Linked DNA regions of Cricetulus griseus. The protein of the gene in region 7 binds, or shares a complex with, the protein of the main gene of each other region. Links are inferred from orthologs where the notes say so. Each region holds a gene or a part of one and is shown on either strand. Other genes may lie near its edges. The genes, in order: Snrnp200, Snrpd2, Cwc27, Snw1, Scnm1, Cwc15 and Eftud2.

The links.
Region 1: Eftud2 (region 7) and Snrnp200 share a complex: the UniProt entries of both Homo sapiens proteins name them as parts of the minor spliceosome. The link is inferred for Cricetulus griseus from reciprocal best matches to the Homo sapiens genes EFTUD2 and SNRNP200.
Region 2: Eftud2 (region 7) and Snrpd2 share a complex: the UniProt entries of both Homo sapiens proteins name them as parts of the minor spliceosome. The link is inferred for Cricetulus griseus from reciprocal best matches to the Homo sapiens genes EFTUD2 and SNRPD2.
Region 3: Eftud2 (region 7) and Cwc27 share a complex: the UniProt entries of both Homo sapiens proteins name them as parts of the minor spliceosome. The link is inferred for Cricetulus griseus from reciprocal best matches to the Homo sapiens genes EFTUD2 and CWC27.
Region 4: Eftud2 (region 7) and Snw1 share a complex: the UniProt entries of both Homo sapiens proteins name them as parts of the minor spliceosome. The link is inferred for Cricetulus griseus from reciprocal best matches to the Homo sapiens genes EFTUD2 and SNW1.
Region 5: Eftud2 (region 7) and Scnm1 share a complex: the UniProt entries of both Homo sapiens proteins name them as parts of the minor spliceosome. The link is inferred for Cricetulus griseus from reciprocal best matches to the Homo sapiens genes EFTUD2 and SCNM1.
Region 6: Eftud2 (region 7) and Cwc15 share a complex: the UniProt entries of both Homo sapiens proteins name them as parts of the minor spliceosome. The link is inferred for Cricetulus griseus from reciprocal best matches to the Homo sapiens genes EFTUD2 and CWC15.

The regions. Positions count from the first base shown.
Region 1 is NC_048599.1:51,360,503-51,364,002, reverse strand, and holds part of Snrnp200 (U5 small nuclear ribonucleoprotein 200 kDa helicase), read left to right. Parts: intron 1-325; coding exon 326-478; intron 479-630; coding exon 631-730; intron 731-1,019; coding exon 1,020-1,156; intron 1,157-1,595; coding exon 1,596-1,679; intron 1,680-1,758; coding exon 1,759-1,932; intron 1,933-2,421; coding exon 2,422-2,559; intron 2,560-2,934; coding exon 2,935-3,090; intron 3,091-3,500. UniProt on the Homo sapiens protein: Catalyzes the ATP-dependent unwinding of U4/U6 RNA duplices, an essential step in the assembly of a catalytically active spliceosome. Plays a role in pre-mRNA splicing as a core component of precatalytic, catalytic and postcatalytic spliceosomal complexes.
Region 2 is NC_048602.1:28,213,612-28,217,598, reverse strand, and holds the start of Snrpd2 (small nuclear ribonucleoprotein Sm D2), read left to right. Parts: upstream 1-1,187; 5' UTR 1,188-1,341; coding exon 1,342-1,343; intron 1,344-3,450; coding exon 3,451-3,630; intron 3,631-3,987. Other genes in the region: Qpctl (glutaminyl-peptide cyclotransferase-like protein), read right to left, coding at 1-38, 409-618. UniProt on the Homo sapiens protein: Plays a role in pre-mRNA splicing as a core component of the spliceosomal U1, U2, U4 and U5 small nuclear ribonucleoproteins (snRNPs), the building blocks of the spliceosome.
Region 3 is NC_048595.1:323,093,451-323,096,950, forward strand, and holds part of Cwc27 (spliceosome-associated protein CWC27 homolog), read right to left. Parts: intron 1,124-3,500; coding exon 1,011-1,123; intron 731-1,010; exon of another isoform or gene 471-730; intron 1-470. UniProt on the Homo sapiens protein: As part of the spliceosome, plays a role in pre-mRNA splicing. Probable inactive PPIase with no peptidyl-prolyl cis-trans isomerase activity. As a component of the minor spliceosome, involved in the splicing of U12-type introns in pre-mRNAs.
Region 4 is NC_048598.1:116,352,292-116,354,849, reverse strand, and holds the end of Snw1 (SNW domain-containing protein 1), read right to left. Parts: intron 1,390-2,558; coding exon 1,226-1,389; intron 1,146-1,225; coding exon 947-1,145; 3' UTR 501-946; downstream 1-500. Other genes in the region: Slirp (SRA stem-loop-interacting RNA-binding protein, mitochondrial), read left to right, coding at 1-3, 371-460. UniProt on the Homo sapiens protein: Involved in pre-mRNA splicing as component of the spliceosome. As a component of the minor spliceosome, involved in the splicing of U12-type introns in pre-mRNAs.
Region 5 is NW_023276806.1:61,367,435-61,371,377, reverse strand, and holds the start of Scnm1 (sodium channel modifier 1), read right to left. Parts: upstream 2,801-3,943; 5' UTR 2,685-2,800; coding exon 2,634-2,684; intron 2,249-2,633; coding exon 2,178-2,248; intron 1,939-2,177; coding exon 1,850-1,938; intron 1,753-1,849; coding exon 1,658-1,752; intron 1,558-1,657; coding exon 1,469-1,557; intron 123-1,468; coding exon 1-122. Other genes in the region: Lysmd1 (lysM and putative peptidoglycan-binding domain-containing protein 1), read left to right, coding at 2,922-3,034, 3,586-3,781. UniProt on the Homo sapiens protein: As a component of the minor spliceosome, involved in the splicing of U12-type introns in pre-mRNAs. Plays a role in the regulation of primary cilia length and Hedgehog signaling.
Region 6 is NC_048597.1:127,982,822-127,986,321, reverse strand, and holds part of Cwc15 (spliceosome-associated protein CWC15 homolog), read right to left. Parts: intron 2,880-3,500; coding exon 2,761-2,879; intron 182-2,760; coding exon 52-181; 3' UTR 1-51. UniProt on the Homo sapiens protein: Involved in pre-mRNA splicing as component of the spliceosome. Component of the PRP19-CDC5L complex that forms an integral part of the spliceosome and is required for activating pre-mRNA splicing.
Region 7 is NC_048600.1:115,260,714-115,264,213, reverse strand, and holds part of Eftud2 (116 kDa U5 small nuclear ribonucleoprotein component), read right to left. Parts: intron 2,192-3,500; coding exon 2,025-2,191; intron 1-2,024. UniProt on the Homo sapiens protein: Required for pre-mRNA splicing as component of the spliceosome, including pre-catalytic, catalytic and post-catalytic spliceosomal complexes. Component of the U5 snRNP and the U4/U6-U5 tri-snRNP complex, a building block of the spliceosome.

The DNA.
Region 1 (3,500 bases), on a different chromosome or scaffold from region 7:
TTTTGAGATAGAACTTGCTGGACAGCTCAGACTGATCTGGAATTTGGAATCTCCTGCAGCCTCAGTGCTGGGATTACAGATGTTTCACCAAGCTCAGTTTGAGTCTTAAACATTTAACATTTTTATTTTCTTAGGATTTTAGTCAGTTGCTACTCTTCCCAAATACTGGGTTGATGAAATCTTAATATGGTGTGCCCCTGAATTCAGTGTAATAGAGCTGTTTCCTTCTGGAAAGGCCTTAGAAGGTAACCTATGGGATGACAGGTAACTCTGTTGCAACATGATAAAGAGACCTAGTGAGCCAAGTGTTTGCTTTTCTCCTTAGCTTGTAGCCTCAGGAGAACTGATGAGTTCGAAGAAGAAAGATTTACACCCTCGGGATATTGATGCTTTTTGGCTGCAGCGACAGCTCAGTCGTTTCTATGATGATGCCATTGTGTCGCAGAAGAAGGCAGATGAGGTGTTGGAAATTTTGAAGGTATGGCCAAGAAGGTATTTCTGTTCCATGTGCTTGTCAGAAAGGGTCAGTGTTTACCGAAATATCACCAGTACAGGGCCACCAATGCAGGGACAGTGTTTGAAGAAACAGATGGCTGTGTTCTTACTGTTGGTATTATTTGTTCTCTCCAGACAGCAAGTGATGACCGAGAATGTGAGAACCAACTGGTTCTGCTCCTTGGTTTCAACACTTTTGACTTTATTAAAGTGTTGCGACAGCACAGGATGATGAGTGAGTAGTCCGTGTACTTTTCTTTCTTGCTTGGTGCGTGCGTGTGTGCGTGCATGTGTGCGTGCGTGCGCATGTCTGTCTGTCTGTCTGTCTGTCTGTCTGTACATTCAGTTGTGTCCAGATTGTGTGTGTGTGTCTGTCCATGTGTCCATCCACACATTCAATTGTGGATGAATTGTTGCTTCTTTGGCTTCAACATTTAATTACCTTCTTTTTGCTGAGGAATAAAAGTTGATTTTATTTCATTCTCTCTTTCCCACCTTTTCTCTGTCCCTGTCGTGTTCTGCAGTTTTATACTGTACCTTGTTGGCCAGTGCTCAGAGTGAAGCTGAAAAGGAAAGGATCATGGGAAAGATGGAAGCTGACCCAGAGCTTTCCAAGTTCCTCTATCAGCTGCATGAGACTGAGAAGGAAGACCTGATCAGAGTAAGGGCTGCTTTGTTTTCTTTCACATTTCTCTCAGTGTTTGAGGTAATAAAACATCTTTGAGTTCTCTGGAGTTTGTCAGGGTGCCAAGTAGAGTGAGCACACTCATTGTTATGCCTGTGACACTGTCTTCACCTAGCACCATAGGGACCTGTTTATCACAGTCCAGGAAAGGAACATGTTTGCTTAATATGGAGCACCATACTTTCATGCCTTGGGTATAGCCTTGGTGGTTAATTGTAGACTGTTATACTGTTTAGAACATTGCATCTCATTGTGTTTGTTCCCTTTTTTGTGGTTTCTTGTCCGTCTCAAAATAAAGTGATATCTTTGGGTTTGGGGAAACATGAGTTAGTACCTGTGAGTGAAACCCAACCCAGAAGGAACAAGAACCTAGGAGAGTGATGATCGTTGTACTTTTTCTCTTTCCCTGTTTCAGGAAGAAAGATCCCGGAGAGAGAGAGTCCGTCAGTCCCGAATGGACACAGATCTGGAGACCATGGATTTAGACCAGGGAGGAGAAGTGAGTGCTGGGCTGTTCCCTGGCAATGGTGGATGGGAAACTCACCTGCTCAGCCTGTTACTGTTTTACCTGTTCCCAGGCTCTGGCTCCACGGCAGGTTCTGGATTTGGAGGACCTTGTTTTTACACAAGGAAGCCACTTCATGGCCAACAAACGATGCCAGCTTCCTGATGGATCCTTCCGACGCCAGCGTAAGGGCTATGAAGAGGTGCATGTGCCTGCTTTGAAGCCCAAGCCCTTTGGCTCAGAAGAAGTGAGTGAATTGCTTTTCTCAATTTTGTCTTTCTCCTCTCTTCCAGTTTGGTTTTAGCCATTGACTAAAATGTTACCTTGTCTCAAGGATAATTTATTGTAGAGGTGGAAACTGTTCCAGAGTTTTCCCATTGTGAGACAAGGAGGCAATACTGTTGTCTCTGGACAGGTTTATGATTGAGAATTATGAACAGTGATTGCCAGGGAATGAAATTATGGGGAATCACAAAATGATATCATGGTTATCTTGTAAGAATAGTAATCTACGGAGATGGCTCACAGGTTAAGAGCACTGACTGCTCTTCCAGAGGTCCTGAGTTCAATTCCCAGCACCCACATGATGGCTTACAACCATCTACATGCCAGAACCCTGTGACATAATAAATAAGTCTTAAAAAAAGAAAATAGTAATCTTATAAGAAATCTTACAAGAATGAACAGTTTGCAAAAGGATGCTATAACATAAAGTGCAAAACATTTCTTCCTCTAGCAACTGCTTCCTGTGGAGAAGCTGCCAAAGTATGCCCAGGCAGGATTTGAGGGTTTCAAAACACTGAACCGGATCCAGAGTAAACTCTACCGTGCTGCCCTGGAGACAGATGAGAATCTGCTGCTGTGTGCTCCTACTGTAAGCATTGCCCCGCCTGCTTTTTCTGTCCTGGAATGTTTTGGTGGCTAGTTGGATCTTAATTTTTACATCAGGCTTTATTCTTATGGTTATTTTGAGACAGGGTCTCACTATGTAGCCCTGGCTGTCCCGAATCTCACAATGTAGGCCAGGCTGCCCTTAAACTCACAGAGATCTGCCTGCCTCTGTCTCTGCCTTCCAACTGCTGGGATTAAAGGGGCGGCATACCATTCCTGGCTATTCTCTGTTCTGTTGTGGAAGACATAGGACAATCCAGTGGTCAGTTCTCTCTCTCGTTGTTAGCCCATTAAAGTCAAGGCAGTAGCCATATAGTTCATCAGACATGAACAGACTTTGTCTCTGACCTGCCTCTAGGGTGCTGGGAAGACCAATGTGGCCCTGATGTGTATGCTTCGAGAGATAGGGAAACACATTAACATGGATGGCACTATCAATGTGGATGACTTCAAGATCATCTACATAGCTCCTATGCGGTCCCTGGTGCAGGAGATGGTGGGCAGTTTTGGAAAGGTGAGTCACATCTTCTCGAGAAGGTACTGGCTGCAGATGGCCATGAAGTGGGGGAGGGGCCTATGTGCCACTCTTTCTTTCCTTAGGGAATCTCTGGATTTTTTTTTTTTTTTTTTTTTTTTTGCCATTTCCAAGGTAGAACGTGACCCAAGTGATTTCTGAAGGAAAAATGTCTTGGCCTCTCTTACATGGACTCCATTTTTCTTTGAGCATCTCCAGAGTGCTTGTGGAGTCATGTCTGGCCCACGGATATGGTTGATAGCTTGTGAGTTGTTACTCCAGTTCCACTCTCCTAAGTGTGTCCAGTTTCCTGCTCCATGTGGGGCTCCTAGAGACACTTTGCCTCGTCAACCTGAGTGGAACTGAACTTGTTTAAATAGTATTTGGTCATCCTCCTGATTCTCCAGATA
Region 2 (3,987 bases), on a different chromosome or scaffold from region 7:
CGTAGCTTGGCTTCCGGAAGGCTTCCAATCAGCGGGACCTTGGTGGGGAAGAGAAGAATGAAGACAAAACCCCCCATCCCCACCCTCTCCTGGGCGCCGCTGCCCCCTGGGAGCCCTGACTCTTCTTGGTGGTGCAGCAAAGACTTGGAGTTCACATGCATACACCCTAGAGCGGGAGGGCGTCTTCAAGGCAGATCTGGCCCCTGCTACTATTAGAGCCCTGACGGGAACCTTGCAAACAGATGTCTTGGGGCGCGGAGCTCAGATCTGCCCGCGTTGCTAGGCTGACCGCCTGCATCTCCAGGACGGCGAGGCAGGGGCGTGCGCTTGCTTGAGTGATGGAGAAAGAGATGTCACCCGCTCGGCACGGGAAACGGAGGAGGGACCGGGGCCCCAGGCAGGCCTCACCCGCAGATCCCGGCTGCGTGACAGCTCCTGAACCTCGGGGTGCCAGCCGTTCCAGACCATGAAGAGCGCCAAGCCCAGGGCGAGCGCCAAGAGCAGCAGGGGCAGGAGCTGCACTCGCGGCAGCAGGCGGCGCTTGGAAAGCGAGGGCGGCTGCATCGCGCCGCGATCCCCGAGCCGCTGCCGGGGCCGCCCGCGGCTCCCGGGACTCATGGCAGCAGCGGGGCCCCGAAGCCGGTCGTCCCAGACTGAGGTTTGAGTCCAGGCCAGGCTCCGCCCCTCCCCCCTATCGCTTACGCAAGCCAATAGGGAAGCAGAGCGGCGGCGGCATCGTCGCGCAGACGGCCGCGATTGGCTCCTTCTTCTCCAGAAGGCGGTGCGCAGACCCGAGGGCCCGCCCCCCACGCAAGAGGCGCAGCCAATGAGTGGCGGCTGACCGTGCGGAAGCCGCGCCCGCCGCCCTCAGGTGTCCATCAAGGAGAAACGGGCGGCGCCCATCCCTGAAGCAAGGAGGCGATTGGCTCGCTCGAGGCCACGCCCCCCCAGGAGGAGGCGGGCGCCGCGCGCTTGGAAACGGAGCTGTGTGTCGTGTCCCCGCCTCCTCCCCGCCCCCGTTCTTCTTCCACCCAGACGGGGAGTTAATTCGAGCCAGGCCCGGCGGCTCCCCCTTTTTGTTTAGTCGCGAGCGGGGGGGTCCCCCTATTGTGATCCTCACTGACATGGAATCCTCCCTCCAGGCATTTCCTACGGCAGAGAGCCGCCGCCGGGTCGCTATGGCAACGTGACACGCCCACGCCGCTGGGGCGGGTTGCGCAGGCGCCGACGGAAGTGATCCCAGAGGAGGGAGGCGGAAGTCCCGCCTTCCGCTCGCTCTACTCCGGAGGCTACACGGCAACGCGGCGGAGGCGGGAGTGAGCTGCGATCGAAACCTCCACCATGTGAGGCCGGGCTGGGCTCCCGCGGGGACGCGAAGGTGGAGGGAGGGACGCGGGCGGCTTAGCAGGTGGACTGTCGGCTTGGGGTGCTCGTAGCGGGGGCAGAGGTTCCTCCTGAGGTGTTAGGGGACGGGCGTGGGGCCTGGAAGGACGGGTCTGGAGTTCCGGAGCCGGACAGCTTCTTCTTTCTTTTCTTTCTTTCTTTCTTTCTTTTTCTTTTTTTTTAAAGTTTATTTATTTATTCATCATGTAGACAGTGCGAGCCAGAAGAGGGCACCAGGTCCCATTATAGATGGTTGTGAGCCACCCTGTGGGTGCTGGGAATTGAACTCAGGACCCCTGGAAAAGCAGTCAGTGCTCTAACCTCTGAGCCATCTCTCCAGCCCCCCTCATTTTTATTTTTTAAAGATTTATTTATTTACTTACCATGTATACAGTGCGTGCCAGAAGAAGGCACCAGATCTGGCACCAGATCTCATTACGGATGGTTGTGAGCCACCATGTGGTTGCTGGCATTTGAACTCAGGACCTCTGGAAGAGCAGTCAGTGCTCTTAACCCCTAAGCCACCTCTCCAGCCCCCCTCATTTTTATTTTTAAAAGATTTACTTATTTATTTACTTACCATGTATACAGTGTGTGCCAGAAGAAAGCACCAGATCCCATTACAGATGGTTGTAAATCACCATGTGGTTATATTTATTTATTAACCATGTATACACTGCGTGCCAGAAGAGAGCACCAGGTCTCATTATAGATGGTTGTGAGCCACCATGTGGTTGCTGGGAATTGAACTCAGGACCTCTGGAAGAGCAGCCAGTGCTCTTAACCCCTGAGCCATCTCTCCAGCCCCGACAGCATAACGGGCGTGGGACCCTGCTCTGTACTGAGTCTTGTGAAAAGAGCTGTAAGAGGAAAGCTGAGCCTGGTGGCACATGCCCAAGAGAGGCTGAGTGAGGCAGGAGGATGGTGAATTCGCGCCCAGCCTTGGGCTGCACATGGAGACCGTTTCCAAAAGTAATAGTAATTTTAAATGGGAGCCGTAAATGGATAAAGGTCTCGGCAGGGGAAGGGAGTTCTATTAAAAAATAGTGAAAGGCTCTCCAAAAAAAACAAACAAGCAAAAATCATAATGAGGGACTTAACCAGGATAAGGTAGAAAACAGACAGGGGGGCTTTTTCAATCTGCCTGGAGACTCTCAGAGTAGCAAGCTACTGCCATGGTTTGATGTGTTTATTCACCAAGCAGGTGTTACACAGACTGGTTGTTAAGTTAGACACACGGTGTATAAAAGGTCCGTGCCACCGAGAGAAAGTTTTTCTCACTGGGGCTGGTAAAAGGAATGGGGTAGGAAGACCAGAGAACGTGTTAGATGATGGAGAGTGCGGATGAAGAAATTTGAGTAGCTACCACAAAAAAAAAAAAAAAAAAAAAAAGACTGAAAATGCAACACTGGGCTGGAGTTATAGCTCAGTGGGCAGAGTACATGGCTACCTTGGGTTCTGGGTATAGTGGCAGCATGCCTGTAATCCCAGAGGTCTGGAGGCAGAGATGGATAGTCTGAGTCTCAGGTCAGCCAGGGTTACACAGTAAGACATTGTTGTGGGGATGGCGGGCACCAGGAGAAAGGTAACGGAAGATTAGGCCATGGATAGAAATAGCCAGGTTCTGGATATGTCGTAGAGGCAGATGACAAGATGTGAGGGTAGATTTCCTTTAAGAGAGTGCCGGGCTTGATGTTGAACTCCTGTAATCCCAGAACTTGGGAGGTGGAGTCAGGAGAATTGAGAATTGAAGGTCGTCCTTAGTTATATAGCAAGTTCAAGGCTAACCTGGGCTATAGGAGATCCTGTCACCAAAACAGAAATCAATTAAACAGTAGAGTTCTAGCTTAGAGAACCCGCTGAATAGAGTTGCCATCAGTGAAGACGTGGGGAATGCGTGGGTGGGAGAGGTTTTGGTGGTTAGACAGCTGGAACGGGCTAAATAGACAATGTCTCTCCCACCTCTGAAAAGGACATTTGGGGACCAGGTTGAGGAGACACTGGACAGTGCCTTTGATCACTCACACTTCCAAGCTCACCCATCTCACCCGTGGTTTTTCTATTCAGGAGTCTCCTCAATAAACCCAAGAGTGAGATGACCCCAGAAGAGCTGCAGAAGCGGGAAGAGGAGGAATTCAACACTGGTCCCCTCTCGGTGCTCACACAGTCGGTCAAGAACAACACACAAGTGCTCATTAACTGTCGAAACAACAAAAAGCTCCTGGGACGGGTGAAGGCCTTTGATAGGTGAGCACTGAGTCTGAGGGGCCTGAAGGAAAGGTTATTCCAGAAGCATAATGATAGTAAGTTGGTGACAAACTCCTGTAATCTCAGCACTCAGAGGGATCACCATGATCATGTTAGAGGCCAGCCTCCAAAATAAAAAATCAGAAAGTGTGGGGTGCTCTTTTTGTTGTTTTTTTGTTTTATTTTGTTTTCCAAGACAGGGTTTCTCTGGCTTTGGAGGCTGTCCTGGAACTAGGTCTTGTAGACCAGGCTGGTCTCGAACTCACAGAGATCCACCTGCCTCTGCCTCCTGAGGGCTAAGATTAAAGGTGTGAGCCACCAACGCCCGGCTAAAATTTGTCTTATCTGTCTATCCCA
Region 3 (3,500 bases), on a different chromosome or scaffold from region 7:
ACTGTTGTAGCCCAAGGAGACTACTGAAAATTCCATATAATATTTAAATCAAATTATTTTAATCTAAAATAGCACATGCAATGTTTAAAACTTGGCTGTTGAGCTGGGCCTGCACACCTTTAATCCTAGCATTTGGGAGGCAGAGGCAGGCGGATATCTGTGAGTGTTTGAGGCCAGCCTGGTCTCCAGAGCGAGTGCCAGGATAGGCTCCAAAGCTACACAGAGAAACCCTGTCTTGAAACCAAAAAAAAAAAAAAAAAAAAAAACTTAGCTGTTGAGATCAGACAAACATCAAGAAATACACCATATGCACTTCTTCCTGAATCCTGCTTCTCTCTCTCTCCCTCTCTCTTATAGCAACCCTTAGTTCTACCTTAACTTAATCTAGCACAAAATAAATCAGAAAGAATGCTTGGTAGGGAAGCTATGTGTCTCTAGCTTCACCAGCTGTCATCCAGCAACTTTCAACCATGGACCAGGTAATGCAGTTTGCTAGGCCAGTGGCAGTTTGTCAAGGACTCAAGTCGGCTGGTAAAAAAATGCACCAAACCCCACAGAAAAGAATTCCAGAAGATTGCCATGGCCACAGCCATAGGGTTTGCTATCATGGGATTCATTAGCTTCTTTGTGAAACTGATCCATATCCCTATTAATAACATTATTGTGAGTGGCTGAGTGCTTTCTCTTCGTGGGAACTAGTGAACAAATGAGGGTGTGAGAAGCTCATGAAGTAAAAAGTTGCCTGTATACTTTGTGGTTTCTTTTTCTTTCCTCCTCCATAAGAGGTTTTCTATTCTAAATTAAAATAATTTCAAAATAAACATTTTTTCCATGACAGAAAAAAAAAAAGAATGCTTGGTAGGTAATATTTGTTCCTATCTCTAAATAATTCTAACTCCATTGATTTTTTTTTTTTTTTTGTTCACTACATGAGACATTTTTCTTATGGGACACTATTACTTTGGAAGAAGCACTCCAAGCTGACTTAGAATACAATAAATTGATCTGACCTTGAACGGTGCTCCATAGATGGACTCTCCACCAGTCCCGGTGCCTGTGGGGTCTCCACCTTGGACTATGAAACCAGGCACAACTCTGTGAAAAATGGTGTTGTCATAGTATGCTGAAAAACAATATAACAATTTCTAAAAGTCAGTGTGGCTTTAGTAATCATAATTAATAGATAAAGAGAGCCACAGATTTAATTTCCAAAATGTTACATATGCTTTTAGACTAGAACCTTTCCTATAAAACATTCAATCTTCAAAACACTATAGGCTTCTACAGAAACAACAGTGCTTTAGTTTTAGTTTTTGTTTTATCTCCAGAATTTTCTCAAAGACAAGAAGTTTAATACATCAATGGCTCTCAACTAGGTGAGAGAGAGGAGCAGCAATTCTGCATCCCAGAGGATATTTATCAACATTTTGAAATATCACAACTGGAGAAAACTCCTGGAATACAAGATGGCAAGAATATTGTCAAACACCCTAAAATCTAAAGGGTTGTCTGCACAGCAATGACTAACCCATCCCAAATGCCAACAGTGCTGAGACTGAGACTCTTCCCCTGACAGGAAATTAACTTACCAATATACAAGATTATACAAACCCACAGATACTAAAGTTATTAACTGATCATAGTTCTAGCACTGTCCACCTGCAGTCCCCTCAAACAAAATGTTCAGCAAATGAAACACACAATATATATTTTATTCCAATCAAAGTCATTCACTTAAGTGACTTTCAGAAATCAATATAAAATTAATAAATTTAAATATGTTCTATATTATAAATATATTTTTAGCCACAAATATTCAGCACAGATGAAATATGGTATCCCATAGCATTTATTCTCTGAAACCAGAATCATTAAGAAGGAAAAAGTTAACTTAGATAAGATAGAAGCATGGTACCCATTGAGTTATAGGGTATCCTCTCTAAACATTGAGAATCAGTAGCCTTTTGCTTTGTTTCTTTCCTTCTTTTGTAACAGTTTTATACCATGTTTAAGACTGGCAATTCTCAAAATGTATTTATTTTAGATGTTTTCCTAACTATAAGCAAAGACCTCAAAGTCCAAGGTTAAATTCGTAATGACATATCTTTGAGTTCTACAAAGAATGTGACCATCTTTTAACAAAAAAACCTGTTTCATCAAGGGCCATGTGGGAGACTGAACTCCTCCCTCCCTCTCTCCCTCCCTCTCTCCCAGGCTTCTGTCCATTTTCTTTTCATTCTGAAAACTATGCATTGCTGCTGCTGTTGTATTGAAAGGTGCATTACAAGACCCAAAAACATCCTAACTTCTTTGAATCAGACATTCAAAGAAATAAATGGAGTTGTATATACACATATTTTTTTAAAATAAGTGATGTGTGTTTTGACTACATGTATGTCTGTATGCCACATTCATGCCTGGTGACCTGAAGGCCAGAGAGGGCATTGGATCTCCTGGAACTTGAGTTACAAACATTTGTGAGCTGCCATGTAGTTGCTTGGAATTGAACCCAGGGCCTCTGGAAAAGTAGCCAGTGCTCTTGACTGCTGGGCCATCTCTCCTGCCAGGAGTATCTTTTTTAAAAAAAAAAATTAGTCTTCTCAGGTTTTTAGTTAGCTTTCCCAACAATAATTTTATTAAATTCTTGCCTGTTTCATTATGAAAATTGCTCTGGTTATTTCTATGAATTTTCCATTCTTTACTTCTAACTCCTGGTCTTCTTATAAATGGGAGAATAATATTTTTTTTTTTTTTGATGCAAGGAAGCTATGTCAGCATCAAGCTGAACCGCTGAACCTCATGTTTATTTCATTGTCACATTCTATCCAGATACTTTCTGTTTCTTCATTCACCTGGTCCTGGACTGCATTTACCATTCATTCTTTCTCGTGTTTTTGTAATTCCACTCTCCTGTAAAATTTGAGCTTTTGACTTCACACTTATTCCCAGAAGTCAGACTTCTCTGCCTCCTTTGTTTCTTAGTTTTGTTGACAGTTATCCGAGGCGTCCCTAACTAAACTACCTGTCTGATTTGATTTCCTGCCTGCCTGCCATAGCAATTATTAATAATGGTCTTTGCAGACTATTTTCTTTGTCTGATTTGAGGGATTTGATTCTTTTATTATTATTTCTTTAATCTTCCCCCTGCAGTGTTATATTTACCTAATTTCTATTTGGAGAGCTTTGTCTATGTCATACAAGAGGATACTGTGGATTCTTAAATACCTAGTTTCTCACCCAAAATATTGTTTTCTGATGCCATGAATAACACTGTCTCTAAAAATCAGGTATAACTAGAAGACACTGATTTGCCACCACTGGAGGTATTTGAAGTCATATGTAATGCATTCTAGAAGCCAACCAGAAACAGTAAAGAATTTATGGAATATATAGCTGCATACAAAATTATCCATGAACAAAAAATACCCAAGTGAATATAAAATTTTGCCACGTTTCTTACAAAGAAAAATAATCATGTTATGACTCAAATTGGTAACAGA
Region 4 (2,558 bases), on a different chromosome or scaffold from region 7:
AAGGTAAGTATTTCTGTTGATGTGTGTTTGTTTCACGTTGCTTTTTAAAGAGTAGTTGGTGTCTTATAAGGTCCATAAGGAAAATCCATGAAGACCCCATTTTTGATGCTAGGGATTGAACCCAGAATGCCACACATATGATAAGCACATGCTCCACTGAGTTTTCATCCCCAGGTGGAAGACCCTCTGATAGCTTATCCAGGCATATGTAACACAGAATGGTTCAAACAGCAATGTAGACAAACACCTGAAATCTTCCCTTCCCCTCTCTGATTACCCAGAAGGAAGACACCAACCACCTGAGTCACTAATAAAATGATATTTGTGGAAACAGGGAAATTCTTCTTTTAATGTCATTTTTTTCTTATAGTGCTTTTTCCCTCCACAGATGGATGTTAAAGCTTGGAAAGAAAGGATTTTGCAAAGGGCTCAAACATCTGATGAAGACAGAGACTTCTGAGATGGTTACTGTAGTACCCATTAAATAAATGTAAAGAGACTTTTTCTAAATGTTTTTATTTGAAACAAGAGCTGCACACTAAGCAGGACCTTAGTTTCCCCACTGCAAGGTAAAACAGCACAACAGGGCAAATGCATTTGGTAGCACAGTTCCAGTATGTGGACATTTTGGGGTAATTTTATTCATAAAGTTCTTACACAAAATATTACCCCTGGATTAGTAATTTCACATACAAGAAAGTGGTCTTAATTCTGTTTGGGGCAGTATTTCCTATAAGTGCTGTATGATGGGAGCACAGACATAACTCATTCTTTAAAAAAACTAATCCAAAGTAGAATATTCAACCCCCATCTCCTGGAATAAAAAGTAGTGCTGGGATCTATTGCCCAGATTTGGTTTTTGTCCTGATCATTTACAAAGGGTTTCCCAATGACTTGCATCATTAGGGCTGTGAATAAGAGTCCTTTGCTTTGAAAAGAGGCCTATCTACTCCTTCCTCCGCTTCTTGCCTTCATGCTCATGTTCCTTAGGGCGACTGCTGTCAGAGGGTCTTTTAGAACCACCATGCTGTTTGGCTTCTTCCAAAAATTTATCCAAACCAAAAGGATCTTCCTCAAACTGAACTGGTCCCTCTCGGCCTCTCTGTCTGCGGTCGGAACCAGAAAACTCCTTATCAGGTACAAACCTAGGGGAAAAGGAGAAGAGGTCATGAACTGCTTTTGTTTTACTGGTGTAACCAGGACAATCAACTGTCTGTTTTGGTACCTGTTGGTCTTTATCCTGGTTTCCAGGTCATCACCATACATATCTTTGTCCAGATTTTTACTGGGCCTGTAGATACTTTGAGCCATATCTTTACCGCCTCTCCAGGCCTGATCATAAACATTATAAATTTCATCTTCTCCACCTGCAAATCCACTGTCCATACCCTGTGGAAAAATAAATGACACTAGATAACCATATACATTAATATACCCAAGCTGAACCTGAAAACTTGTGAGTACTCAGATCACTTCCATTTTTTCAGGTAATTCTCAAAGCCCCCAACTCCAACATTTAAAACACACACAGACTTGTTCATACTCATTTGAGTTCTTACCCAGAGACTTACTATTAAATTAAGGTATTCATTAAAAGTTTGATTAAGCTGGCTGTGGTCTATGTATCAAGTTCCAGGATAGTCAGAGCTATGTAAAAGACCCTGTCTCAAACAACAAAAGCTTTGACTAGCCATCAGACAAAGGACACAAAGTTGAGTGTGTAGAGAGGGTGGGGTGAATCTGTGGGGAGTTGAAGGGAGGGAGCGAGGTTAAAACTCAACTAACTGTATGCACTTCTCAAAAACTAAAGTTGAAGGATTCTACTGTAGGAACCTGACAATAATGCTGAGAAATGTAACCTCCACTGCCTGAGAACGTCACTATCAAAGCACAAGACAATTAGGTTCTCAATGAAAATCTTAAAAATTTTCACCCAACTTTGAAAAGCTTTAAGCTTAAGGTTGTAAGAGATAGAACCTTTAACCACTTAAAGCAAAGACGTTAAGAAAAAAAGCTTTGGAATCAAAGCATTCAAGGTTGAATCTCAGTTCCATCAATTACCTAACCCTGTCTCAATTATCTTTGAAACATAAGAGGCTAGGGACATAGCTCAGTGTTAAAGCACTTTCTCCATATGTATGAGGACCCAAGTTTGGATCCTCACGACCCATGTAAATGACAGGTGGGGGAGTGGAAGTTTGCCTGTAACTTCACCCTCTGAAGACGGAGACAGGAGATCCCAGATCACGTTGGCTAACAACCTTTATCAGTGAGTTCTGGTATTGACTGAGAGACCAGTATCAGGAAGAGTGATAAAGAACGATTCCCAACATCAACCTCTGCCTTACATGCATGTACACATATGTATACATGCAAACATGCATATAAATGAAAATGAAAAAATAAAAGTGAAAACAACAATATGGCTTTATATTCCCCAAACACCAACAGTGTTTTTAAAGGATTGAAAGAGATTTAGAACAATGCCAGGAACACAAGCAGTATTAAAAAAAAAAAAAAATGATTGTTACTTGGAAGAGCCTGCTCAAATGCTATCT
Region 5 (3,943 bases), on a different chromosome or scaffold from region 7:
ATGACTCTTTGGCATGTGATCCTGCCTTAGTCTCAGGTTCCCTACTGATCTTTGCACTCTGGAGTCCAACCTCTGGGGCAGGCAAAGGAGAACTGGAGACAGAGGGAGCAGGAGCCTCTGGTCTGGGGAGAAAAGAAACCAAGCCTGTTAAATGCACAGAAGGAAAGTAGCAGCTTCCCCGTGCCTCCCAAGCCTGAAGAGCAGTGTTTCCTAAACTGAGTTCCTGAGTTTTTTGTTTTTTTTTTTTTTCTTTTCCTCGGTTTTTTGAGACAAGGTTTCTCTGTGGCTTTGGAGGCTGTTGGAACTAGCTCTTGTAGATCAGGCTGGTTTAGAACTCACAGAGATCTGCCTACCTCTGCCTCCCAGAGTGCTGGGACTAAAGGCGTGAGCCACCACTGCCTGGCTAGTTCCTGAGGTTTTTTTGTTTGCTTTTTTGGAGATAGAGTACATATGATGGACCTGGAATTTACTAGGTAGATGAGGCTGTCCTTAAATTTACAGAGATCCACTTGCCTCTGCCTCCTAAGTACTGGGATTAAAAGTGTATACCACCACACCCAGCTTGAGTTCCATAAGATCTTAAATATTTTACATATGAAAGATTTTGGAATTAGGAACTTGAGAAAAGCCAGCTTAATAGTTCTACGCTTTTGCCTCAAGATTTTCCATAACCAGGTATGGTGGTACACACTTTTAGTACCTGCAGCACTTAAGGGGCAGAGAAAGGCAGATCTCTGTAAGTTTGAGGCCACCCTGGTCTAAATAGCAGGGTTCCAGGACAGCCAGGGCTACAAAGGGAGATCCCCTCTCAATAACAAACAAAAAAGTGTACCACTATGCCCAGATTATGTTACTTTTTTTTTTTTTTCCTCTGTAGCCCCGGCTGGCCTGGAACTCAGAGACCCACTGGCCTTGCTTCTGGAGTGCCAGGATTAAAGGCGTGTGCCACCATCCAGCAATAATGTTACTATTTTTTTGTGTGTGTGTGCATTATTTTGTTTTTCAAGGCAGGGTTTTTGTTTGTTTGGTGTAGACTTGGCTGTCCTGGAACTCACTCTATAGATCAGAGATCTACTTGCCTTGTCTCCGGAGTGCTGGGATTAAAGTGTGAGCCACCAACACCCGGCTAAAATTTATTTTAAAATCACAAACTATCACCAGGCGATGGTGTCCCACGCCTTTAATTGCAGTACTCAGGAGGCAGAGGCAGGGGGATCTCTGTGAGTTCGAGGCCAGCCTGGTCACCAGAGCAAGTGCCAGGATAGGCTCCAAAGCTACAGAGAGAAACTCTTGTCTTGAAAAACCAAAACAAAAAACAAAAACAAAACAAACCACAAACTATCATTTTTCTTTAAACAACATCTCCACAAGATTAGTGTTTCTCAGAGTACAGTTTGGAGAGCAGTAACTTCAGAACCATCTATTTCCTTCTACCCTTTCCCACTTCCGGATTTCCCCCTCTACAGACCTGTGCTTCCTCCGGCAGCAACTGCTATAGTGAGGAGCTCTGTGCAGAGCACTCTGGGTGATTAATCGAGTCTGGGTTAGCAAAGGTGCCTGGTTATCAAGAGAAGAAGACACAGTTGGAGATGTTAGGCAAAAGTCCTGTTGCATGCAGTACAGCCCTGCCTGAACAACACCTGACCAGATCTCTCACCTCGGCTTTGCTTTCTGTCTTCAATTCATTTTGCTGTCTTGGTTTTTGCTCTGTTTTCTTGCCTGATTGCTTTTTGCCATAGAAGAGCTTCAAACCTGAAAAGGAAAGCAAGCACAACATCAAGTAGACTGACAAAATGTTCAGAGTGTATTCTCTATCATTCCTCCACTCCCCGCCTTCTCCTGTACTTACTGGATAGGTGCTTCTTGCCTGCACGGTGGGCAGTCAGCATGGCCAGCGTGTCCAGGACTGGTCGATGGGGGCAGATAGCGCAAGCAAAGCTAGGGAAAAGAGAAGTGAATGGCAAACCCGTATGTGTTGGAGAGCCGGTGGTTGGGGTGTTCCTACTTAGGGGCTATGCCTGTCAAAGCACTCCACCAACGCCCAGGTCTCCCGATCGCCACCTCTTCCAATCTTCACTTCCAACCAAAGGATCTATTACACTCCTGATCTCCTTAGAAACCAAAGTCTGTTGAGCCTCTGATAGCAAATCCCCAGGCTTGATCCACTCTGCTCTCACCGTCCATCCCGCAGCATTAGCGCCTCATCCTCTGGGATGTAACTGGCCAGCAAGTCTCCAACTCTTCGTTTCTGCAGAGAGCAGGACAGGAGAAACGAATATGAGGGATGGATGAAAAGAAATAACAGGGATAAAGAGTCAAATGGAGCAGACCATAGGGTAAGAAGGAGGAGGCATCACTCAGTTCTGGCCCCCGAAACCCCCTCCCACAGATGTCGCCAGAGCAACAAAACAATGCAAAGCGCGACTGAAGCTGGGCTCTCCCTCTCTCTAGTTCTTTGATTTTTCGAGACAGGGTTTCTTCGTGTAGCCTTGACTGTTCTAGAGCTGGCTGTGTGGACCAGGCTGGCCTCGAACCTCAAACGCAACACGGACACACCGGCTTTTGCCTCGCAAGTGCTGGGATTCAAAGCGTGCGCCACCACTGCTCGTGGGTAGACTCTCACTAGGGCTTACTTTGAGCACATTGAGCTGACTCCAGTCGTCACCTTCCCTCTTGAAAGACATCACGACTGTGAGTCTTAGAAATAATAAATTCTCCTACGCCTACTTTGCCTCTCCTTCGGGCCACCGTAGGAAGAGTAGGTTATCGCCTTCCCTGCTTCCGGTCTTTTTCTGATTAAGTCTTTACTTCCGGGGATGCGTTTCCACGCATGCACCGCGCGAGCCGGAAGACCCGCCTCCAGAGCCCTGAGGGTGCCTGCATTTCCTATGATGCCCTGAGAACGCTTTGCCTTTTGGGAAATGAAGTCTTTTAGTTATTTTCTTTTTTTTGTTGTTTTTAAAAGACCTCACCGCTCACCTGAGTACAGGCACTCACATCGCGAAGGACCCAGGTGTTTGGAGACCAAGAACCTGTACGTGGAGCCGGAGTTTCAGGGTGGGACCCTCCTGGCGTGGAGCGAGGCTTCGGGGATCTCAGTGGACCGTGTACTGCAAACTCTCTCAGTCCCCAGGCTCACCGTCCACAGCCACGATCTACCTGGGGTGGGCCTGATTTGGAGCAGAGAGGATGTGGGGGCTCCCGGCGGCCCGGCTGCGGGACGTGGGGACACACTGAGGGGAGAGTGTTGATGAGGGTGTCTAGGGTTCAAAGGTCAGAGATCAGGCTTGCAAGGAGTTGGGGAGAGGGCGTCGAAAGTCGAAGGGGTCGGCGACCGACCACTCAGGGAAGATATTTATGGGCAAGGGTCTTGAGGAAGGAGAAATGTAACCGGCCTGGCAGCCTTCTTAGGGTACGGACTGTGACCCCAAGCTCGGTAAGCAGCAGCAAGAGGAGCATTGATGTAGTCTCTCGAGAGCGGGGACACTAAAGAGAGAAGTGAGAAGGAATTCCTAGAATATCTATCCATTCCTGGGGTTCGGCCCTCACTGTTGGTCACTTAGCTTTCCTCAGTTGTGACCCTAGATCTTGGCATCTTGAGATGGCTTCTCCCTCTAGACAGCCCCCACTTGGGGGGTCAGGGCTGCTGCATGGGAGCCGTGCTCGTTCTTATGGAAGCCTGGTACAATCATCGTGCTCCCCGGTGAGGGAAAGACGCTTGGAGCATCAGTTGGAGCCTGGAGACACCCTGGCTGGACTAGCACTCAAATACGGGGTGACGGTGAGTCTTCCAAGGATTGTGGTGTGGTGACCATTCAGGAGAGATTTAGTGCCCAGGAGAAACTGGGTGGTCTGCTAAGCGGCCTTCCCTGATGTTATATTAATTATATTGTGGTCTCTGCTTTGTCTTATTTTGTTTACACCTCTCAGGGTAGCACTATCC
Region 6 (3,500 bases), on a different chromosome or scaffold from region 7:
AAATTGATCCTTAACATTTTATTAGACTTTAATTAAGCACATAAAACTGTACTACTTAATATATTTCTCCATGAACTTTTTGTGAAATTCAGATCGAAGTGTATCATTTACAAATCTTTTGTCTTTCTTCTGATCATCTATACCCTTTGCACAGTTCTTAAAAACGACATCATCGTCCCACCTAAAGGGGAAGAAAAGAAAATAAATACCTTATAATTCTATCAGGAAACAAGAACACCACACAGGCTGTAAAGCTTCATCAACACAGACACAATCTGCCTCCTGACAAGAAAAGAACTGGTGTGCCTATGGTGGAAGTTGTCACAGCAGGAGGCACCCATACTCAGAGCACATACCACTCCCCTAGTGGAAGCAGCTCTGAGCTACAAAGCAGAAGCAGACACACATACTGCGCTCAGGTAAAGGTGTGATATTTTCAGGTCTAAAACCAAGAGGCAGGGCCATGGTCCTGATCCAACACCACTAGACAGTAAGTGATCCATTTCCTGATGCTTTGTAAAGTTTTGTACATACTTCTAATCAATTATATCCATCATGCTGGTCATACATCATAAAGCAACAAAAGACAGAACTACAGGAATGTAACAATGAAGATTCACAGATTGGCCCCAGTCTCCATTAATACTGAAGAAGTATCTGCTAAGGAGCTCAGAGTAGAACTCAGCTGGATTTCAGAGAGCATGAAACACACTCATGGAAAGGTGCCATGGAAAGTAAAGTGCATAACGTCAGAGCAGCACCTCCCATATAAAAACATAAACCCTTCCTCATGACAAACACAGACACAAACATACATAAAACACAGCTTACATTGTGCTTGTGTGTGTTGGTGTATATTTACCAGGAGAAATTGCACAAGGAAAATGAGCAAAGACTATGTGTACCTATGGGTACTGTGTCAGTAAATTTGCCTTGATGTTGCACACATGAGAAGCTCAGCAGCATGGTAAACTGGGATATTTACTCCTGCATCCACAAAGGGAAGAATAAACCAGACTGCTTCATATTCATTTATCGTGTTTTGTCTCTTAACTCATCCCAATGAGCTTTTGGTCCCTTGCTCCCTTCTCTTCGAACACACATCAGCATACAGTATTCCCAGACTGTCACTCATTCCTCTCACAACACTAATGGGAATGTCTTGGCTGCCCTCTTCTCTAGGTGCTTAGTCTTAGCCTAGGATTTTAAATCCAAATACTAGTTTTTAAGCACTTACTATGAACTTATACTACTCCAGTACTATGAACTTATACTGCACCCTACTCCAGGCACTGACACAACCCTCTGCCCATGCTGGTGACTCCCAGACGAATTATTACCAGCTTGAACCAACTGCAGAAACACACAGACTAGATACACTTAGAGATGTGTAGAGCACTCCAATCCTAGCATGCCTGGAACCTGTTTCCTCTTTCATGCTCAGTATAAGCCATACTCCTTCCCATGCCTGCCTTGCAACTGCTCAGGTAAAATGCTTGGAGTCTGGTCTCTAAACTGCTGGTGTCAGCAAACCTTCCCTTGACTGTACTGTTGTCTTCAAGAATGTGTGTTAAGTTTTTAGCTTTATGTCACCACAAGGACTGTTCTTTTACTGTGATCGAGTAAAGAAACGAACGAATTTAGAAAAAAGCAGCTATTATCGTGACTTTTAAAAGAAAGAACCATGGTGCTGGGATGAGAGAAGAGCTTGGAAGAAGATGGAGTTTTCTTTGTGTGTGAGCAGGAGCATGACCTTTGGGGTGAATGGGCAGGAGAGCAGCTGGGGCAGTGCTTCATTCCTGATGAGACAGCAGCGGTGGAGGTGAGCAGAAAGGAAAGGCAACGGGACTCCTCACCCCTGACACAGTACAGCCCCCCCCCCCCATCACACACACACAGTGGCTCCTGTGAGTGCTCACTCTACTTTCCTCTGCATCCTCATCTGTTGTCACATTATGCAGACTCTTTCCAGCTCTCTAGTGCCCTCCTCCTTCACATGCAGTACAGTGTTCACTCCCAGCCTGCCTCTTAGCTCGGCTAGCACTGGAGACCCGAGTCACCTCTCACCATCACTTGCCTATAGTACATAACTAACTTGACTTCCACGCAACAGAAGTTCCTGCAGGACGAGTCCCAATAACCTTGATCATCAAGTGTCAACTTCTAGTTTCACTGTTTAGTGACCTCTTACAGGAATAGGAGTGTAAGGAAGTCTATGTCTTTCCACCTTGTGACCTGAATGTATATCTATGAATACTCACAACTGTATGATCTGTGTGTATCTTACAATATCAAACATCAATATGGTCATGGCAAGTCCCCTGAATCCTTCTAGAACTGAACTGTGAGGGGTGGTCTTGAGGACCCTTCCACTCACATCCCACGTACAGGTTTTGTAGCTACCGTCATGTAGCTAGTGATCAGGTTTAGACCATGACTTGGCAGACACTTGGTTATTATGAGTATGCATTAAAATGAAGTCATCCTGCCTCTCTTCTTCTCCCATTATTCTAAAATCTGACTGAGGTTATATATAGGAGGTGGGGTCTTAGAAGCCTTATGTAACACATAATACAAATAATGTACCACACATATAGATCAACCCATTATTTTTTATCCCCTTGGTTAAGACAGGGTTTGTGTAGCCCTGGCTGTTCAGCCTAGTCTCAAACTCACAGAGATCCGCCTGCCTCTGCCTCCCAAGTGCTGGGATTAAAGGTGTGTGCCACCACCATCTGGTCAACCCATTACTTTTAGTACCTTCTTTTAACCTTGAAGTTGGCCTGAGGCTGGGATGGGCCAGTGAGATTGAGGAGGGGGTTTCCACTCAGAATATTTTCCATTCGAATTCTCTCTTCCTCTGCTTTTTGTTCTTGTTCCTGTCAATGGCAGAGGAAGACACAAAGTTACTAACTTCAAGTCAGTTGTCTTATATTGGTTCACAAATGAACATCTGTCAGATGGTAGTTTTCTTTCTCCTTTCCTTTCTCCTTTTTGAGACAGGTTCTCTTATAGCCCAGCTGGCATGGAACTTGCTAGGTAGCAGAGGATGACCTTGAACTTCTTACCCACTTCCTGAGTGCATGGTTGTGTACCACAGATGTACACAACAAGGCCCAGTTTTTCAGTGGTAGGGACCTAGGGCTTCGCACATGGCAGGAAAGCACTTTACCAACTTACTCATTCCTCTTTTTGATTCTTGACAAATACCAGAAAAATCTTTGTAAAAAGTAAATACATTGCTATTTTTATTACAAATATCTCATTCTTTCCAAAATAGTCAACAGTCTCTCAATTGTGAGAAGCTGAGATACAGATGTAAACGTTTTATTTAGTTACTTACAGGTTAAGTTTAGGAGCATTTTAATAAACATTTAAAATTTAAAAACATATTGTCAGACTTGTAGGTGAATGGTCAGACAGCCTCTGGATCAAATCTACACTTTCCCCCCAGGCTTGAGATTATATTTTTTGAGAACATGGCCACCCTATTAATATAG
Region 7 (3,500 bases):
TCAGAAGTTCCAGGTCATCCTTGGCTCTGTAGAAGTTCCAGGCTAGCCTGAGCTATAGCAGACCCTGTCTAGGGGTGGGGGACATGCAGGTAAGGACAGGACAGATAAACAACACTGAGAAAAAAGAGAAACGGCAGATTTGCTCCTCTTCGCTGTCACTCTCTTTACTCTGTTTGGCTTCTTGTTTCAAAAATTCTGAAACTTTCATTTCACTATTTTGCAGAGTGCATAACCCAGACCCTGCATATAGTAGCAAGTGCTCTCGGATGGAGCTACACCCCAGACCTAAACTTTGCAAACAACTTGAGTCATTCGGAAGGCCAGGAGTGGAGGCACTGGCCTGTAATCCCAGCATTTGGAAGGCTGAGGCAGGAGGCCCAGGGGCTTAAGGAGTTAGATGGCCTGTGCTGGGTTCTCCAGACTCACAGAATACCATATCCTACAGCAACTGTGCTAACATAGGCCTCAAAGCAACTTACATGTGTAATTCTAACTAAATCTTCCATCTTCTTATGAAGCAGATGCTTGCAGAACACACAGTAAAGTTTCTTCATTTACACACCCTGTGTTATCAGTAAGACAGAGCAGCCAACATCACTCAGCAGCAGGTGCCATATGGCAAGGGAGCTGTACCAACTAGCTACTTAATTTCTTTTAACATCCCAATAGGCAATTCATTTGCTTAGTTAAAAAAAAAGTTCTGCTGACTCATTTATTGATTGTATGTGTGTATGGCATGTATGTGTGGGGTGTCTATAGAGGTCAGAGTGTGGGGTCCGTTCCGTCCTTCCATCTTTATGTAGGTTCTGGGGATTGAATACAGGCAGTTAGGCTTGTGCAAGTCCTTCATCTGCTCAGCCATCACGTTGGCCCTCTTTGTTTTATGAGATAGTGCCTCACTCTGTAGCCCATGTTGACCTCAAACTCATAGTAACTCTCCTGCCTCAGCTCCTGAGTGTCAGGATTATTGGGGTGGACCATTATGCCCATCTTATTTTTTTTTAATTAAATTTAATTATTTTTGTGTATGTGGGTACACACACCCACAGAGACCAGAGGTTGACACCGAGTGTCATTTTTTATTATTATTCTCCACTTTGATCTTTGAGTCAGGTTCTTTCACTGAACCTGGAGCTCATCAATTGGCCAGACTGCCTAGCCACGTGGTTTCCCTGTCTCCACCACACTGTGCTGGATCACAGATGGGAGGTACCATCCTAGCTTGTTCTATGGATTTTAGGGACCTGAACTCAGGTCTTCATGAAGCAATCACTTTACTCACCAAGCCATCTACTCAGCCCTAATGTGAGTTGTTGAGATAGGGCCCCTCCATGGTCCTCATGCCAACCTAGAACTTGCTATGTACTCCAAACTAGCTTCAAACTTCTAATCCTCCTGCCTTGACCTCCTAAGTGCTGGGACCATCGGCATATGCCACCACACTGTATCCGGGGTTGTTTGTTTGTTTGTTTGTTTGTTTAATAGAAGCAAAAATGACCTTTGGGGGCTGAAGAGAAGGCTCAGCAGGTAGAGCAGCACATTGCTCTTGCACAGGACCTGGGCTCAGTTCCCAGCACCCACATGGAGACTCACAGCTCTCCTTAACTTTAGCTTTAAGGAATCTACTGTTTTCTTCCGACTAGTGTAGGTACCAGACATGTACACGGTGTACAAACATATGTGCAGCTAAACATCCAGATATCTAAATAAACAGGTAAGTAAATAATGAGCTTTGGTAATCGCCAACTTCACATGGCTGGCAGGTGGTAAAGGTGAGACTGCTTTAGAGTCTACTGACTACAGAACCAGGGATGTGCTAAACCGCGTGGCTGGTTCAGACACTGAACTGCTGAGGAGAGGCTTGCAGGCAGTCCTGCAGAGACCCGACATGTGCTGTTAGAACTGACAGGATCACCCACATGCCACAAAGTGAGGGACTCCCAGAAGTCTTCAAGGGTAAAATTAAGATTTATAAAAGCCAGACTCTCCTAAGGACAGGAAGTCCACTCCCAGGGGTCTTATACCTTATTAATCCATTGACCTCATCCACAATGTGTCGAAGTTTGTAATAAGCATCTGTTGGAGGCAGCTTCAGCTCCAAGATCAGCCGGTCGATTTTGTTGATGCACACGGTGACTGCTAACCTCTCCTGCACTGCATGCTTAATCAGCCGCTCTGTGTTCAGCATCACCTGAGAAACACAGGGCTCTGAAGCGGGAAGTGGGTACTAAGAGTAGAGAGCACATCTATAGTAGGGGGGAAGGCGACATTCGCAACACTTTCTGTACAAAGGGGAAATGGCCTGGGCGTGAAGTGTCAGCTGGAAGCATCATCCGCAAGGCAGACTCGGGGCTGTGAAGCTGAGCACAGCTAGGTAATACCCACCCACACGTCTGTCACTCTTCTGCACACAGGTGTTGAAAATGTCACTTGTTCAAACTGAGTGTCGCTTTGTCTGTCTGAAATCACGACACACGGGAAGTAAGGGGATTGCTAAAAGTTTGAGGCAGGCTAGGGCTACAACCCAAGACCTTACCTCAAAAAAATAAAACAACAATAACAAATAAGAAAATGGCTTGTTTTCTTATTTGTTATTGAATAAGGCACCTTAATTTCTTTTGAAGGGGGCACCTACACCTTAATTTCTTTTGAAGGGGGCACCTACACAGCAAGACTAAAAAGCAAATAAACACAACGGCCATGCTGGGACCAAAGCTTCTCAGCACTGAGAACGCTAGGAAGAACTTACTGATGAGGAAGTATTAAAATGAATGCTGTGACCCACCTCCAGCCCCTTGTCAGTGATCCTAAGGAATAAACCCAGAGCCTTGGACATTTGAGGAATGCTGCCCCTGAGCTAAATCCCTTCCCTGTTTTAGTCTCTTCTGAACCAGGGTGTCACTACCTTGCTCAAGCTAGTCTCAAATTTGCTGTTTTTCTGCCTTGGCCTCCACAGTAGTTAGGATGATAGGGTATATGCCACCATGCCTGGCCGAACAAGCCATTTTCTTATTTGTTATTGTTGTTTTATTTTTTTGAGGTAAGGTCTTGGGTTGTAGCCCTAGCCTGCCTCAAACTTTTAGCAATCCCCTTACTTCCCGTGTGTCGTGATTTCAGACAGACAAAGCGACACTCAGTTTGAACAAGTGACATTTTCAACACCTGTGTGCAGAAGAGTGACAGACGTGTGGGTGGGTATTACCTAGCTGTGCTCAGTGAATGGGCCTGGAGGCAAAGCATCAAAGCAGCAATGAACACCCCCAGATAGTGGTCTCCACTATATAGGAAGCCAGAGCTTGTTGAAGAAATGGCTGGTTTTACGACTAGGGTAGGGCAAGTGTGTAAGAAAATAAGCAAGAACTCAAAACATGATGAGGTAGGTCAAAAGGACGAAAGAGCCAGTTACAAAGAACTCTTGATAGTCAGAGATGAGTCAACTAGACCATCAAGATATATGAGAATACGCTGTGTGTGGTGCACACCTCTAATCCTAGCATTTG